3 linked regions of the Arabidopsis thaliana genome follow. The protein of the gene in region 1 interacts with the protein of each later gene in a pairwise test. Each region holds a gene or a part of one and is shown in the gene's direction. Other genes may lie near its edges.

Evidence for each region. The genes of interacting proteins can lie anywhere in the genome.
Region 2: the proteins of ARF2 (region 1) and WRKY38 interact in binary tests that used the Arabidopsis thaliana proteins (3 or more experiments, as listed by UniProt).
Region 3: the proteins of ARF2 (region 1) and IAA10 interact in binary tests that used the Arabidopsis thaliana proteins (3 or more experiments, as listed by UniProt).

The regions. Positions count from the first base shown.
Region 1 is NC_003076.8:24,908,302-24,916,321, forward strand, and holds ARF2 (auxin response factor 2), read left to right. Parts: upstream 1-1,889; 5' UTR 1,890-2,309; exon of another isoform or gene 2,310-2,411; 5' UTR 2,412-2,557; coding exon 2,558-2,711; intron 2,712-2,801; coding exon 2,802-2,917; intron 2,918-3,042; coding exon 3,043-3,138; intron 3,139-3,222; coding exon 3,223-3,279; intron 3,280-3,373; coding exon 3,374-3,529; intron 3,530-3,631; coding exon 3,632-3,716; intron 3,717-3,810; coding exon 3,811-3,901; intron 3,902-3,980; coding exon 3,981-4,145; intron 4,146-4,279; coding exon 4,280-4,399; intron 4,400-4,492; coding exon 4,493-4,568; intron 4,569-4,644; coding exon 4,645-4,816; intron 4,817-4,912; coding exon 4,913-5,835; intron 5,836-5,926; coding exon 5,927-6,117; intron 6,118-6,201; coding exon 6,202-6,379; 3' UTR 6,380-6,419; intron 6,420-6,512; exon of another isoform or gene 6,513-6,515; coding exon of another isoform or gene 6,516-6,572; 3' UTR 6,573-7,094; downstream 7,095-8,020. Other genes in the region: AT5G61997 (uncharacterized protein), read right to left, coding at 1-83; HSFB2A (heat shock transcription factor B2A), read left to right, coding at 7,911-8,020. UniProt on the Arabidopsis thaliana protein: Auxin response factors (ARFs) are transcriptional factors that bind specifically to the DNA sequence 5'-TGTCTC-3' found in the auxin-responsive promoter elements (AuxREs). Could act as transcriptional activator or repressor.
Region 2 is NC_003076.8:7,494,501-7,498,940, reverse strand, and holds WRKY38 (WRKY DNA-binding protein 38), read left to right. Parts: upstream 1-1,950; 5' UTR 1,951-2,233; coding exon 2,234-2,499; intron 2,500-2,642; coding exon 2,643-2,765; intron 2,766-2,852; coding exon 2,853-3,333; 3' UTR 3,334-3,486; downstream 3,487-4,440. UniProt on the Arabidopsis thaliana protein: Transcription factor. Interacts specifically with the W box (5'-(T)TGAC[CT]-3'), a frequently occurring elicitor-responsive cis-acting element.
Region 3 is NC_003070.9:1,057,688-1,062,163, forward strand, and holds IAA10 (indoleacetic acid-induced protein 10), read left to right. Parts: upstream 1-1,782; 5' UTR 1,783-2,042; coding exon of another isoform or gene 2,043-2,121; coding exon 2,122-2,393; intron 2,394-2,595; coding exon of another isoform or gene 2,596-2,636; coding exon 2,637-2,947; intron 2,948-3,044; coding exon 3,045-3,177; intron 3,178-3,269; coding exon 3,270-3,339; 3' UTR 3,340-3,522; downstream 3,523-4,476. Other genes in the region: AT1G04090 (vacuolar sorting-associated protein (DUF946)), read left to right, coding at 1-1,560; SDD1 (Subtilase family protein), read right to left, coding at 3,770-4,476. UniProt on the Arabidopsis thaliana protein: Aux/IAA proteins are short-lived transcriptional factors that function as repressors of early auxin response genes at low auxin concentrations.

The DNA.
Region 1 (8,020 bases):
CCACACACAAATGCTACACAGTACTCTTGGGTCCCACACCTCTTAGCAAGTGCGTTACCAACACGTGAATTTCCTCTCCCCATTTTCTCGTCCTTTTCCTCTCAATATTGTATCGTCTCGTTTTCCTTGTCATATCGCGTGTGACGTGTTATTGGCTTATTGCTGAACAGTCTTCTTTTTTATTTTCCATCGTTATCCTGATTTTTTTTTTTTTCCAAATTTGATTTTCATGGTTTGTAATTTTGCAATAGATTTTGTGTTTCACAGAGAGATAGTTTACGTGTTGTTAAAAATAATTTGTGCAAAATAGTGTGCGTGTGTTAAATATTAAACGATATATAATAATTAGAAGAAAATAAAAAGTTTTGTCGCGATTAGTTATTTGATATTTACCTTGTTCTTTTGTTTATCGCTGCGACAAGCACCGACGGTATAAAATATAAAGAAAAAAAGAAAGAGAGATGAAGGTGAGATGAATGAAAGAGTCGCAGCGACAGATCTGAAGAGATAGGAGAAAGGGAATTTGAGACGCTGAAAATTCCAGCGTCTACGGAATGGCCGAATTACAGTCGATGCGGCAGAGATGAAAAAAATGAGAAATGAAAGTGAAAAAGAGATGAGAACTTTTTTTGGGTCGCAGGTAGCTGACGCAGCAATCAACAAAAGAACATGGCCAACGTTTTAGTAGATACTACTATAAAAGAAAAAGGTTGATTTAATTCATTCGTAATTTGGACTTAATTTTTTTTTAGGAACACTAATTAATCTTATTTGCCAGCTGTATGAGTGGACTACAATAAACTCTTGTCTATAAACCAGATTTTCTTCCTTTTTAACGCTTCCACTTACAACAATATATGTAAATATGTAATTATGACGGGGCATACGGAAATTTAATTTTTGAAGCAGATTCATCCCATTAGCCAGCTGTATTAAGTGGTAATCCAAGAGTTAATTTAGTTGTTCAGCAAATGATTTTAGATAAAATCAACTACTAGTTTAAAATAACTATCGAATGACTGTTAAGGCTTCGTATTTTTTGTTCTGCCATCAGGATATCATAAATATGGTTGAGGTTCGTATAATATTCGACGATCTTTTATATATCTGAGTTGTAATTGAATTAGAGAAAATAAAAAACAGATAATGAAACGTCTTTGTTTTTCCATAAAAAGAAAAACAGGGTAAATTAAAGTACGAGAGATTCACGAGACGAAAATTCCTAGAGGCGCACGATAGCCAAAAGACCATAGAAAATGACATCCGAAATATCTTTAAAATGCTAAAATGCACATATTTTTCTGGTGCCACGTAGCATTTTTCTCCCTCTCTCGTTCTCTCTACGTCCACCCAGACCTGCCTGTTCACAGCACGACAAAGCCACTTCCCAATAAAAACACAACACCTTTCCCATTGACGCTCTCTTTCCCAAACACCGTTATCCTCTTTACCCAATCAAAAGTTGACGCTTGCTCACGACTTGTTGACGCCGTTAGTCCCATCTAAAAAAGTAAAGCAGCCTTTCTTACTTGCTAATCCCCTCTACACATTTAATTTATTTTCTCCCCTAATGGATTTTTTTTGGCAACTTGAGTATTTATTTTTCAACTCACAGTAACTGTAAATAAATAAAAGTATTCAACTCACAGTCACCAGTAAATAAATACTACCAGACCATAGTTTTTTCAAGAATTGTTTTGGTCAACAATTTTAGGATGACTTAAATTGCTATATTTCTGGGGAAATACGACTTGGAAATGTCTGCAATTTGGGTCTTTTCTTCAATTTATCTTCTCCAATTTGTTTTTTAAAAAATTAAATTTTAGAAAAGGATATGTCAATTTTTTCTATTGAAAAGGCTTTATTAAAAAATAAGAAAAAGTGGAGGAAAGAAAATAAAATCGTCACTTGTCTTTGGTTTTGTGAGGTCGCAGACCCTGGTCCCCCGGAAATGGTTACAACCGGTAATAGCCGGTATGAAAGAGGGAATGGTAACCGGTGAATGCCGGTTATCCATATGGGTTAGAAGTTTACCGCGGTTGAAATGATTGAAGCTGAGTTTTGACTACCTCTGGTTAAGCCCATTGGTCGCCTCATACCCAGAAAAACAAAAGGATAGGAAAGACGAAGAAATAAAAAGAGAGAGAATGTTAGAGAGACAAACTCTGAGAGACAAAACAAGAGAAAATCGCTCGTCGTCGGTATTCAAGCGTCTGTGACTCCGATAAAGCCTAGACTAGCGAGGACGGCGAGAGAGAGAGAGAGAGAGCTTTGGAGTTGTCGTATCTCTAAATCGGAGGCAATTTGAGGTGAAATTGGTGGTTTTATCGTTTGATTCTAGGGTTTATCTTCTCTGATAGTTTTATCGAGTAATGTCAAGGAGCTAAACTAGTGGTGATTGTGTTTGTTAGTGAGATAAAGACAAAGGAAGGAATCAAGTGGACTACCGAAGCGAGTTTTGAGCTTTTTCAGAGACGGATTTGGAGATTTCTTGTTGATATCGTCTGCTTAGAGGCTTATTTGGTACCAGATGAAACAGATCTGAGCTTCGGAAGGTATGGCGAGTTCGGAGGTTTCAATGAAAGGTAATCGTGGAGGAGATAACTTCTCCTCCTCTGGTTTTAGTGACCCTAAGGAGACTAGAAATGTCTCCGTCGCCGGCGAGGGGCAAAAAAGTAATTCTACCCGATCCGCTGCGGCTGAGCGTGCTTGTAAGTCTCCGTTTCTTAGGGTTTCTTAAGCTTGGTTTTGGTTACAGACTGACTTGATCTAATTTATCTTCTTCTTCTTCGTCTTCATAGTGGACCCTGAGGCTGCTCTTTACAGAGAGCTATGGCACGCTTGTGCTGGTCCGCTTGTGACGGTTCCTAGACAAGACGACCGAGTCTTCTATTTTCCTCAAGGACACATCGAGCAGGTGAGATATTTCATCTATGAGTTCTTGCTATTTTTGGCTAAATCTTTGAGTTAACCCCTCTGTGATTCGTACCTGTTGAGATATTTTCTAATGAACTTTGTCGGTTTCCATTGTTTTATGATTAGGTGGAGGCTTCGACGAACCAGGCGGCAGAACAACAGATGCCTCTCTATGATCTTCCGTCAAAGCTTCTCTGTCGAGTTATTAATGTAGATTTAAAGGTAGGTTTCTTTAACTTCTTGGAAAATTTTGGTTTCTGTGTCTTGGATTGTCAGCTAACAAGAGTTTTGTTTATGATTTTACAGGCAGAGGCAGATACAGATGAAGTTTATGCGCAGATTACTCTTCTTCCTGAGGCTAATGTAAGTTTTGTTTTCTGATTTATTGGTTTGAGTGTTGTAGAGGTGATCTTATTCTTCAAGATGCTGAATTCTATATATTTTTTGTTCCATACAGCAAGACGAGAATGCAATTGAGAAAGAAGCGCCTCTTCCTCCACCTCCGAGGTTCCAGGTGCATTCGTTCTGCAAAACCTTGACTGCATCCGACACAAGTACACATGGTGGATTTTCTGTTCTTAGGCGACATGCGGATGAATGTCTCCCACCTCTGGTTGGTGTTTCATTTGCGCTTCTAACTATCTATTCATTGGCTTATTTTTCCTGAATTTTGTTCTAAGATTGCCTTCAATTCATTTTTTGTTTCTTCCCTCAGGATATGTCTCGACAGCCTCCCACTCAAGAGTTAGTTGCAAAGGATTTGCATGCAAATGAGTGGCGATTCAGACATATATTCCGGGGTATAGGAATCTGTAACTTTTTTATTTTCTGTTTTTCTCGAGTCTGTGTGTCATCAAACTTATCTGGTTGTTGATGTTTGTGATAATGGACCAGGTCAACCACGGAGGCATTTGCTACAGAGTGGGTGGAGTGTGTTTGTTAGCTCCAAAAGGCTAGTTGCAGGCGATGCGTTTATATTTCTAAGGTTTGTGGATTTTAGTTCATTGTTTTCTTTAGCTGTATCTGTTAGTTTCTATAATGTGGAATATCTTAATCTTCTACAGGGGCGAGAATGGAGAATTAAGAGTTGGTGTAAGGCGTGCGATGCGACAACAAGGAAACGTGCCGTCTTCTGTTATATCTAGCCATAGCATGCATCTTGGAGTACTGGCCACCGCATGGCATGCCATTTCAACAGGGACTATGTTTACAGTCTACTACAAACCCAGGTTTGTATTTGTATTAGCTCACAAAACAGCTTTCAGTTTTTTGAGCTCTTTGCTTTGTATGTCTCTATATGTCTGATGCTTGGTAGTGAATCACTCTACTAAATTTTCATGCGGTGTTGTTTTGTTTAATACAGGACGAGCCCATCTGAGTTTATTGTTCCGTTCGATCAGTATATGGAGTCTGTTAAGAATAACTACTCTATTGGCATGAGATTCAAAATGAGATTTGAAGGCGAAGAGGCTCCTGAGCAGAGGTAAAACCTGTCTTCTGCTTTTGAAATATGTTAGCTCTTGAGCCTTTTTCTCTTGGAATAACGAACCTAACAAGTTGTATTGATTTATATTAGGTTTACTGGCACAATCGTTGGGATTGAAGAGTCTGATCCTACTAGGTGGCCAAAATCAAAGTGGAGATCCCTCAAGGTATGACCTAGTTTCTAGAGAGGATCAAGACTATTGTTTGAATATAATGAATGCTGATTGTTCAATTGTCTTTCAGGTGAGATGGGATGAGACTTCTAGTATTCCTCGACCTGATAGAGTATCTCCGTGGAAAGTAGAGCCAGCTCTTGCTCCTCCTGCTTTGAGTCCTGTTCCAATGCCTAGGCCTAAGAGGCCCAGATCAAATATAGCACCTTCATCTCCTGACTCTTCGATGCTTACCAGAGAAGGTAATGTCTTCCCCTTCCACTGTAGTACACATAGTAGTGCGTCTGAAACTTAATTGAACTTGTCAGTGGGAGTCTAATTCATTGTACACAAAACAGGTACAACTAAGGCAAACATGGACCCTTTACCAGCAAGCGGACTTTCAAGGGTCTTGCAAGGTCAAGAATACTCGACCTTGAGGACGAAACATACTGAGAGTGTAGAGTGTGATGCTCCTGAGAATTCTGTTGTCTGGCAATCTTCAGCGGATGATGATAAGGTTGACGTGGTTTCGGGTTCTAGAAGATATGGATCTGAGAACTGGATGTCCTCAGCCAGGCATGAACCTACTTACACAGATTTGCTCTCCGGCTTTGGGACTAACATAGATCCATCCCATGGTCAGCGGATACCTTTTTATGACCATTCATCATCACCTTCTATGCCTGCAAAGAGAATCTTGAGTGATTCAGAAGGCAAGTTCGATTATCTTGCTAACCAGTGGCAGATGATACACTCTGGTCTCTCCCTGAAGTTACATGAATCTCCTAAGGTACCTGCAGCAACTGATGCGTCTCTCCAAGGGCGATGCAATGTTAAATACAGCGAATATCCTGTTCTTAATGGTCTATCGACTGAGAATGCTGGTGGTAACTGGCCAATACGTCCACGTGCTTTGAATTATTATGAGGAAGTGGTCAATGCTCAAGCGCAAGCTCAGGCTAGGGAGCAAGTAACAAAACAACCCTTCACGATACAAGAGGAGACAGCAAAGTCAAGAGAAGGGAACTGCAGGCTCTTTGGCATTCCTCTGACCAACAACATGAATGGGACAGACTCAACCATGTCTCAGAGAAACAACTTGAATGATGCTGCGGGGCTTACACAGATAGCATCACCAAAGGTTCAGGACCTTTCAGATCAGTCAAAAGGGTCAAAATCAACAAACGATCATCGTGAACAGGGAAGACCATTCCAGACTAATAATCCTCATCCGAAGGATGCTCAAACGAAAACCAACTCAAGTAGGAGTTGCACAAAGGTAAATTTTTGCAATATGTAGCACAAAGTGTATGAGGTTGTGATAACCCTTGAATCACTTTTCAACTAACACATGACACATTGATGTAAAGGTTCACAAGCAGGGAATTGCACTTGGCCGTTCAGTGGATCTTTCAAAGTTCCAAAACTATGAGGAGTTAGTCGCTGAGCTGGACAGGCTGTTTGAGTTCAATGGAGAGTTGATGGCTCCTAAGAAAGATTGGTTGATAGTTTACACAGATGAAGAGAATGATATGATGCTTGTTGGTGACGATCCTTGGCAGTAAGATTTTGCAAATTTTCCATCTTAGTTTATATCGATGTTAGTGTTTTTCTTATAACACTGACACAATGATCTCTCTTGCAGGGAGTTTTGTTGCATGGTTCGCAAAATCTTCATATACACGAAAGAGGAAGTGAGGAAGATGAACCCGGGGACTTTAAGCTGTAGGAGCGAGGAAGAAGCAGTTGTTGGGGAAGGATCAGATGCAAAGGACGCCAAGTCTGCATCAAATCCTTCATTGTCCAGCGCTGGGAACTCTTAAACAAACAAAATAACCAACAACCCTTTTGCTGCAAGCCGAGGTATGTAAAAGCTTTTGAGATATTAGTAGACTAGAGACACAGCCAAAAGTTTATGTCATTACATTCGACTGATGTTTGTTCTGTTAATGACAGCAGGATGGGGGTCGATTGGTGGAGACTGGAGAGCAAAATGGGATGATGGGTTTAAGATAAGATATTAAAAATGCAATTTTTGAAGTATTTTGTTGGCCACTTAGATAATTAGCATCTTCCATCACCCTTATTATCTATCTAATAATAATTAATAGATATTATAAAGTAAAACATAAAAAGGTTACAGGTATTATATAGTAGAATATGAAAAGCTCTTTTATAAGTAGAATATGATGGTGTGGAGTTGTAGTCGGAGGCTGGTATCGGTTCTTTTTATGGATGTATTTTTTTCCTTCTTCCAAAGATCTCTTGAAGTCTTTTTATTGTTTATATTAATCCCAATGTACATAAGTTTTCAAGCTCTTGCCCTTTTTTAATTATCTTGTCGATTCACATTTTCTCAACTTATTCTCTTGCTGACTTTTGGTTTTGGTCTGGTCTTGTCGGTATTTTGCAGCTTTTCGTATTAGACGGTGATATAGATATATTCACGAAACTGTAAGACCTCTTAACAAACGGATTCCATTTCGAATCCTTACATTAAATAAATTCGGATGTTTCTAGCTACAATCTGAAAATTAAGCTTGCAATGAGCAAAACAGTGAGCCCTCTTTTTAAAGTACTTTGAAAAAAAAACTGGATGCTAAAATTTGTTGTTTCCCTTGTAACAATGAGGAAAACAAGGTTTGGGTTTTCAAGTTTATTTCTCTAGCTATGCTCATGTCCATATAAACGAATCCGCTGAAAAACAGAAAGATGACACCATGGCAAACACATGATCAAAGTTTCGTGATCTATGGTTTCATTCTATCATATGGCTCTTCATAACCAAACTTGTATTTAGGTAGAACTCTATCTAAATCAAGACTTTAAACCATATGAAACACACAACACCGGCAACTCTGGCATACTACCGCCTTAAGCCGACAATCTCAATCGTCACAGAAACACAACAAACATTTTATCAAACTTGCTGAGTTTATGGAAAAACTTTCAATTGTATCAGTTTATGCCATTATCTTACAACAATACAAAACTGCATAGTTAAATAAGTGGTTCTCTAGCTCCTTGTAATTCTACCATCGACACATATAGTGATAGGTCTGATATGGATGACACATCAAAGCAGACAATCTAACAAAATTATTAATTTTTCCAAAATTCCAAATAAACAATAGGATAAAGTAAACAAAATGTGGGACCTCACCACTTGGGGCACACTATATGAGGGAATAAACACGCAACTCCATAGGAAGTTTCTTGAAGCCTAAAACATTACGCTGCTTCTCGATCTTTTAACCCCCATTATTACATATTACTCCTTCCTACATTATTCTTCTTCTGCTTTCGTGACTTTCAGGGGACACTTTTGTTTTTATAACTTACGCTTAAAATCCTATGAATTCGCCGCCGGTTGACGCAATGATTACCGGAGAATCATCGTCACAAAGATCTATCCCAACGCCGTTTCTCACAAAAACGTTTAACCTCGTTGAAGATAGTTCCAT
Region 2 (4,440 bases), about 17 Mb from region 1:
GGATTATTGAAAATGGGGAATTTTGTTGAAGTCGTCGTCAGATTAAAGAAGACATGGAAGCTACGTTCCAACTACTTGGTTTAATTAGCTAATAAATAAAATTATTAAAAAAATGTATCACCATTATTGTCATGTAAGTCATGTTCACATTCACTTTCCTTTCGCACCATAAAATAATGTGACTTGACCCATAGCTTTGCTTGACTTGTACATATGTGACCCCTTACTCAATATAGTACTAATACCTATACAATATTTAACAATTTGCTAATAACAAGAACAAAATACATGTGGGCAACGTTTCACAGATCAGATCAAAGTCACGTGCGAAAGTTTATATATATATATATATATATATATATATATATATATATCTCTTATGTGTTGATATCTATCAATTTACATTAACCACCCGCAGAAGAAGATAGGGTTGTTAAATTGATGGGTAGATAGAACTTAACATTCTTTACAAACTTTGTAATTTGTTGTATAGTTTCATGAATGGTGTTAATTCATGGCCTGAAAATACCATCGATGTATACAATCTGATAAGGATAAATTGTTTTGGATTGACCATCTATTAGTTTTAAAATATGATTGTATAACTTGGATTGGTTAGCTTTCAGATTATACTATATATTCAAAACAAGCTTTTGTACGTATATTATATCATTTTATCCGCTTAAAATGTAATTACTAATTTTTCTTTCATATAAGATTCAAGTTTACCTAAAGAAAAAGGATTCAAGATTACCAGTTATCTTTTGCAAAGCTTATTAATTATAAATTCTTAAAATTTTAGATTAAATTAAAATATGGACCGAGTAGCCAACGAATGAATCTCACATCACGGCATAGTTGACTAGTTGTTGTTAGTATATAATATAATCAACATTGCTGCTTCGTTCTGACGTCAATCTGCTGAATCAGCCCCTTCAACAAAAACTACGTCATGGGGCTGACGTCGAGTGTCCGACGAAACTAATGCCGTTTTCATTGGTGCATTAGTCGCCACTCGCCAGCTACATCGCAATTATTTCTCTCTTTAAGCGTTGAAAAATTGTCTAGATCTTACTTGTTAATGTTATTCTATTACCTAATAATTATCTTTTGTCTGGTCTAAATACTTACATTTTTATTTAAAATCTGAACCAAAACTCACCAAAAAATTAGATAATTTTACCATTAAAGATATCCACGACTAGTGGAGTATTTTCATTACAAAAAAATGAATTGATCATATCATATGTGTTCGAAGCTTATTATATTGAGCAAAAAAACATTATTTGTACACGTTTCATCTTTGATGAGGTAAACATTGCGATGGACGTGTAAAATATGTTATACTTTTTTTTTTTGTGAACATCCAATCTATTACATACATTTGTTTTTTTTTGTCATATGAACGTAAAATATATTATTTTCAAAACTCTATATTATTAGTTACCGTATAAATTATAATTAAAACCACCTATCAAAATATTAAATAAAAAATATTTAACGATATACAATCAACAAAATTAAGCAAACAAATTTATTCTTAAATTTCATCTGCTATATATTTTCAAAAAAAAAATAAAAAAAATTGCGACACATATTGAAATGGAAAGATTACAAAAGAAAATTTTAAAATCATTGCTAATTTGGGGTTTATCATAGCTCATATCTCTCTCTAATATATCTGACTTTGTAGAACACAGTTTTCTATTAGATTCCTCCTATCTTGAAACCTTTTAGTGTTCTGAAAGGAGTAGTTTTTAATTTTTAATCTTTAATTATTAAGCGAACCGCGTAGATTAGTGTAATAAGAGAAACAGATAAATTCTGAAACAATTAAAAACAGATTGTATATAATTAAGTGAGCCGCGTACTGGGAAAGGTATATAAAATAAACTCTGTTTCCTATACATCATGACAGATCATATGCTAATGTCAACACCTAATCTATCTTTTTGTCTCTCTTTATTTAGATTCACGCATATAAGTCTAGCAGAGCACATGTCCTATATCGAAATTATAATTTATCATTGGCTTCTTAAAATATAACCTAGTGTATGTAAATTATATTTGGTAAACCCAAATTGGCAAAGTCATTTGGGAACGTGTATGTACGACTAGTCCTATAAATTCTGATCTCCCTATCCGTTCAAAAGTTTATAGCACAGAGAAGAGACTTGAGAAAAAGAAAACAAACAAGAAACACATACACACACACACAAGTTCACTATACTCTATGGAAATGAACTCCCCACACGAAAAGGCGGTGCAAGCTATCCGTTATGGCCATAGCTGCGCCATGCGGTTGAAGAGGCGGCTCAACCATCCAATGGCTGATGGTGGACCGCTTTCAAGTTATGATCTTGCTAAATCGATCGTTGAAAGTTTTTCCAATGCCATTTCAATCTTATCTGCTAAACCAGAAACCGAAGATGATCAGTTTTCTGATTTATCTTCTAGGGATTCTTCTCCTCCTCCACAGGGGAGCCCCTCCAAGAAAAGGTATACACTTATGAGTTTGTTTTCTTTTTTGAGTTTGTTTTTGTTTTTCCAAATGAAACCACAATTCTTAATATAAGTATTTTTTTTCTTAGGAGTATATGTTGATTTTAATGCTAATATTTTGATAATACTCATGTTTGCAGAAAGATTGATAGTACAAATTCAAGTGAGAATTGGAGGGACGATTCACCGGATCCGATTTACTACGACGGGTATCTTTGGAGGAAATATGGTCAAAAGAGTATAAAAAAATCTAATCACCAAAGGTAAGAAATAGTATAGCTAATCATATTTCATCATAATTATTTCTATCCCGATCACTCATACTAATTGGTGTATGATGATGGTAACAGGAGTTACTATAGATGTTCTTACAACAAAGATCATAACTGCGAAGCAAGAAAGCATGAACAAAAGATCAAAGACAATCCTCCGGTTTACCGAACCACTTACTTTGGCCACCACACTTGCAAAACCGAACATAATCTAGATGCCATTTTTATTGCCGGACAAGATCCCCTAGATGACTTTAAAAGTACCCAAATGATCCGATTCGGAAAAGATCAGGATCAGGAGAAGGAAAGCCGCTCGAACGGTTTCTCCTTATCGGTTAAGCATGAAGAAGATATCATCAAAGAGCAAGCTATAGATCAGTACCGTGAGATAACCAGTAATGACCAAGATTGTCAAGATGTTATAGAAGAATATCTATCATCACCATCAGGCTCTTATCCTCCTTCATCGTCATCTGGCAGTGAAAGTGCTGACTTTAATTCTGATTTGTTATTTGACAACCCAGACTCGTGGGATCGTTATGATCAGTTTTACTTTTGATTGCACTAGATTTTTCAGCTAAAACTATTTAATAATGTTTTCCTTTTTATGAGATTGTATATATTTGAGAATTGTGACTATTTAAGTATTTATGTTATTGATTAGATAATCCGAGAACAATATTTATATTCACCCCTAAGAGTTTATTTCCGGCCAATAAAACTCTATCATCTAATAAATAAATTAAAAATTCATTTGATTATAAAATATAAATTTCAACCACTTTTTGTGTAAACCTAAATCGATCTATAATCTCGTTTAATTATAAAATCTAAACTCTCATTCATCTTTAAAAGCTCAAAACCGACATTTTAACCTTGTTTAATTGTAAAATATAAATTCTAACCATTCTTTCTAATCCCAAACTCACATTTAACCTCGTTTAATTGTAAAATCTAAATATGTTTATAAACCAAACCCAACATTTAATTTGACCTCGTTTATTTACAAACTAAACCATAATTCTCCTTTACAAACTCATACCAACATTTAACCTCGTTTAGTTTTAACGTCTATAATCCTAACCATTTTTTCTAAACCCAAATTGATATATTTAACCTCGTTTAAAAATGTAAAATGTAAACCTTTTTATAAACTCATACCAACAATTAACCTCATCTAGTTGAAAAAAATCTAAACTCGTTTATAAACTCAAACCTATATTTTATCTTGTTTAATTATTAAATTTTAATCTTAACTATTTTCTTATAAACTCAAACTAATATATAACTGTTTTTGGTGGCAAATTAATTTTTATAATTTAATATTTTTAATTAAGTGGTATATTATGATTAGCAAAATAAAATAGGGTGAATAACAAAGTTTAAATTCCTGAGGGTGAACCGGATTTGAACCGAAGTATTTTTCATATTTGGAGCAGAAGTAGAATATGTAAAACCGGATTTGTTTGAGAAAATGTAATATTTACAAGGGTTTGATTTTTCTTGCTATTGGCCGAAGCACACACATCTTCTTGCGTTCGGTCTATTCAAAATGATTAATAGAAAATGAAGCTTGACACATTGAAAGGATAAAGAAACTAGAAAACATTATATGCTAATTATGAAACGATTTGCTTGATACCAAAAAAGAAACGATTTGCTTAAA
Region 3 (4,476 bases), on another chromosome or scaffold:
ATCACGGATTTTGAATTTATATGGAGATACAGATCCACAGAGAAGAAGAAGAACATTTCATTTTACAAACCAAAGGGATTGTTACCTAAAGACTTCCATTGCTTAGGTCACTACTGTCAGTCTGATTCTCATCCTTTGAGAGGTTATGTACTTGCGGCAAGAGATTTAGTGGATTCATTAGAACAGGTAGAGAAACCTGCATTAGTGGAACCTGTTGATTTTACTCTTGTCTGGAGCTCAAATGATTCAGCAGAAAATGAATGTAGTAGTAAGAGCGAATGCGGTTACTTCTGGTTACCGCAGCCTCCTGAAGGGTATAGATCGATCGGTTTTGTGGTTACAAAGACTTCCGTGAAACCTGAGTTGAATGAAGTTAGATGTGTTAGAGCTGATCTTACTGATATATGTGAACCCCACAATGTCATTGTCACTGCTGTTTCAGAATCTTTAGGTGTTCCTTTGTTTATATGGAGAACTCGGCCTTCAGACCGAGGAATGTGGGGCAAAGGTGTCTCTGCAGGTACTTTCTTCTGCAGAACTCGGCTTGTTGCTGCTAGAGAAGATCTTGGTATCGGTATTGCTTGTCTAAAGAATCTAGATTTGAGTTTACATGCGATGCCAAATGTTGATCAGATTCAAGCTTTGATTCAACACTATGGTCCTACACTAGTCTTCCATCCTGGTGAAACTTACTTACCTTCTTCTGTTTCGTGGTTCTTCAAAAATGGTGCAGTTCTCTGCGAAAAGGGAAATCCAATCGAGGAACCTATCGATGAAAATGGTTCGAATTTGCCTCAAGGAGGAAGCAATGACAAGCAGTTTTGGATTGATTTGCCGTGTGATGATCAACAAAGAGATTTCGTCAAGCGAGGAAACCTTGAAAGCTCGAAACTTTACATTCATATTAAGCCTGCTCTTGGAGGAACGTTCACGGATCTTGTCTTCTGGATCTTCTGTCCATTTAACGGACCAGCAACCTTAAAACTAGGACTCGTCGATATCTCATTGATCAGTATTGGCCAACACGTCTGCGATTGGGAACATTTCACTCTCCGAATCAGCAATTTCTCTGGTGAGCTTTACTCAATCTACTTGTCTCAACACAGTGGCGGCGAGTGGATCGAAGCATACGACCTTGAAATCATTCCCGGAAGCAACAAAGCCGTTGTTTACTCTTCAAAACATGGTCACGCAAGCTTTCCTAGGGCTGGGACTTACTTACAGGGATCGACAATGCTTGGGATTGGGATAAGAAATGACACTGCGCGTAGTGAACTCTTGGTAGATTCGAGCTCACGGTACGAGATCATTGCAGCGGAGTATCTCAGCGGAAACAGTGTGTTGGCAGAACCGCCGTGGTTGCAGTACATGAGAGAATGGGGACCAAAGGTTGTGTACGATTCAAGAGAGGAGATAGAGAGATTGGTGAATCGATTTCCGAGGACGGTTAGGGTTTCGCTTGCCACAGTGCTTAGAAAACTTCCGGTGGAATTATCCGGCGAGGAAGGTCCTACAGGACCAAAGGAGAAGAACAATTGGTATGGCGATGAAAGATGTTGAAATTCTCACTGTTGGGAAACAGATGTGGTGAGATTACCATCGGAGCCCTAACTGTGTAACTTGTAAAGGAAGATGAAGCTTTGATTGCGCAAGAGATTAATTACACAATTAGCGTAGGATTAACGTAAAACTTGTCGTTAGAAGTGTATACAAGTGGGTCCCATCATGTATTTAATTAAAATAATAAAGTTATATAGACGAACAAACCTCCACCAAACGCAACGCACACATTCGTGTACCGTTTCCGATTTTTCGTTCCTCCAATTTCATTCTCTCTCTCTTTAAGAAAAATTCCTTGTTTTTGATCCGAGAATCGAAGTCGCCCTCGAATCAAGATTAAAACCTCGTTTAGTTCTCAATTTCAGTTCTGTGGATCCGTGCGTGACCTCAAGTTTTTTTTTTTTTTCTGTCTCGAAATTCAGAATCGTAGAGGTGTTGAAAGTTGAAACCTTTTTTTTGGTTTGCTTGGTTAATGGGTTTCTTCAAACTTGATCGATAATTGGATTTGAATCAAGGGTTTTAGTGTTCTTGCTTTGTGTATTCGTTTGGCAATTTGGGATAATGAATGGTTTGCAAGAAGTTTGTTCGTCAAGTGGGTCGGTGATGATCGGACTACCAGCTGAAGAAGACGAAAACGCCGCACATTCGTCGGAGGATTCATCTTGCCCCGACGAGTCAGTGTCAGAGACAGAGCTCGACCTAGCTTTGGGTCTTAGCATTGGTCGTCGGAAGGTTCGATCGTCTTTGTCTTCCTCGTCTTCTTCTCTGACCAGGGAAAGTGGGACCAAACGCTCTGCTGATTCTTCTCCGGCTGCCGCCTCAAACGCAACCAGGTAAAAAATTCATCTTCGAGACTTTATATTATAACCTATATGAATGATTGGTCTCAGATTGCTTATTGTTACAGAATCAAAGCAACTTAGAGGATAGAGCTTTTAGACCTTAAACTTTGAGAATGAATGAATCACAGGATTGAATCAAATAGAGTGTTCCCTGAAATGTTTAGTTAAACTTTTGAATCATATTGGTTTATACTTGTTCGTCTTTTGATTTAATATCTTTTGGTAATGGAGCAGACAAGTTGCTGTAGGTTGGCCGCCTCTACGGACTTACAGAATCAACAGTTTGGTCAATCAAGCAAAGTCTTTAGCTACGGAAGGCGGCTTGAGTTCTGGCATTCAAAAGGAGACTACAAAAAGTGTAGTGGTTGCTGCTAAGAACGATGATGCTTGCTTTATCAAATCGTCCAGGACTTCTATGCTTGTGAAGGTGACAATGGACGGAGTTATAATTGGAAGGAAGGTTGATCTCAATGCTCTGGATTCTTATGCAGCCTTAGAGAAAACTTTGGATCTAATGTTTTTCCAGATTCCTTCTCCTGTAACAAGTCAGTTACTAATTCTGTTTCATGAGATTCCATGTGATTCTGTTTTTCAAATTCTGTGTCTCTTGAAATTGACTGGTTTTGATTGATCGATTTGTAGGATCCAACACACAAGGATACAAGACAATTAAGGAAACATGTACTTCGAAATTACTGGATGGCTCATCGGAATATATCATAACATATCAAGATAAAGACGGAGATTGGATGCTTGTAGGAGATGTTCCTTGGCAGTAAGTGACTACCCTTATAACTTCCCATTCATCATCTGTATTTGTAATGTGGCACATCCATTTCAATGAAAACGATCTTTTCATCTTCTCAGGATGTTCCTCGGGTCTGTGACAAGACTGAGAATCATGAAGACATCAATTGGAGCTGGAGTAGGTAAGTAGAGAGTCCTATATAGCAAAAACAGTTTACATCTCTTTGGTCTGTAACTCATATATCACATTCACATATATACATGTGCATATGTTTATACATGAGTGTACATATGTCTTGTGGTCGTTTGTGAATATCAAACAACAGCTTAACCTTGTCTTTAAAGATCTTTGTATATTTAGGGTTTTTCACTCTATTGGTGCCTGATCCAATATACCACTATAACAACAAAGGCATGCATCTGGATTAGGGTTTAGTGATGAAATCAAGCTACAGTAATATGATAGAATCACCAGTAGTTTCATTCCCTGGAAAATGAAATACAGCTCTTGTGCGTACAATAACAACAATCAATCAGCTTCACGAGGTTTTCTTAGCATAAAAACCTAATAAACCTAACACAGTCTTGAAACAGAATGAAAAACGTTTTCCTTCATTGGCTCAGTTAGTCTTCAAGGTTACAGAGATTGGACTTCTAACTCGCTGCATCAGATTATGAGAGTTGACCCAAGTCAACTGCCCTTGTGCAAAGCTAGCCACCTTCCCTCCTCTGTTTTTCTTCTTCAATACAAACCATACTCTATAGCTCAGCGTCTGATCCACGTGTTTGAACACAAGTCTCTTAGGATTGACAATAACTTTGATCCCCTCTGGAGCCTTGACATTCACTGAGTATATCGAGTTAGGACTCCCAACGTTAGTGACACGCCTTGTGATCATCTCCGTAGTCTTGCCACGTTTGAAAATCACGGCTATCGACGGGTAATTGAGACTAAAACCCGGGTTTTTCCGCAATATTCCATTGCAGCTCACGTTCTTATGAGTGATTGCTAAAATATCTGATCTTGTGAATCCAAGAGTGCAGAGGTAAGTTATGTAATCCACTGGTTGAATGTTGTAAACCAATCCCGGGTTTATCGCCTTTTGCGGATTCACATGCCCTGCTCCAATCGCAAACACACCGGCTGGTTTGTTACCATCCTTTATCGCTTTCCCTTGACGATCGTACAAATCCGCTGTTGTCATCAATGCGGATTTGATTGCAGCTGGAGACCAGTTCGGGTATGCAGACCGGATAAGAGCAGTGATTCCGCTAACATGTGGACAAGACATTGAAGTTCCTGACATTACAGTGAAGTTAACTCTTC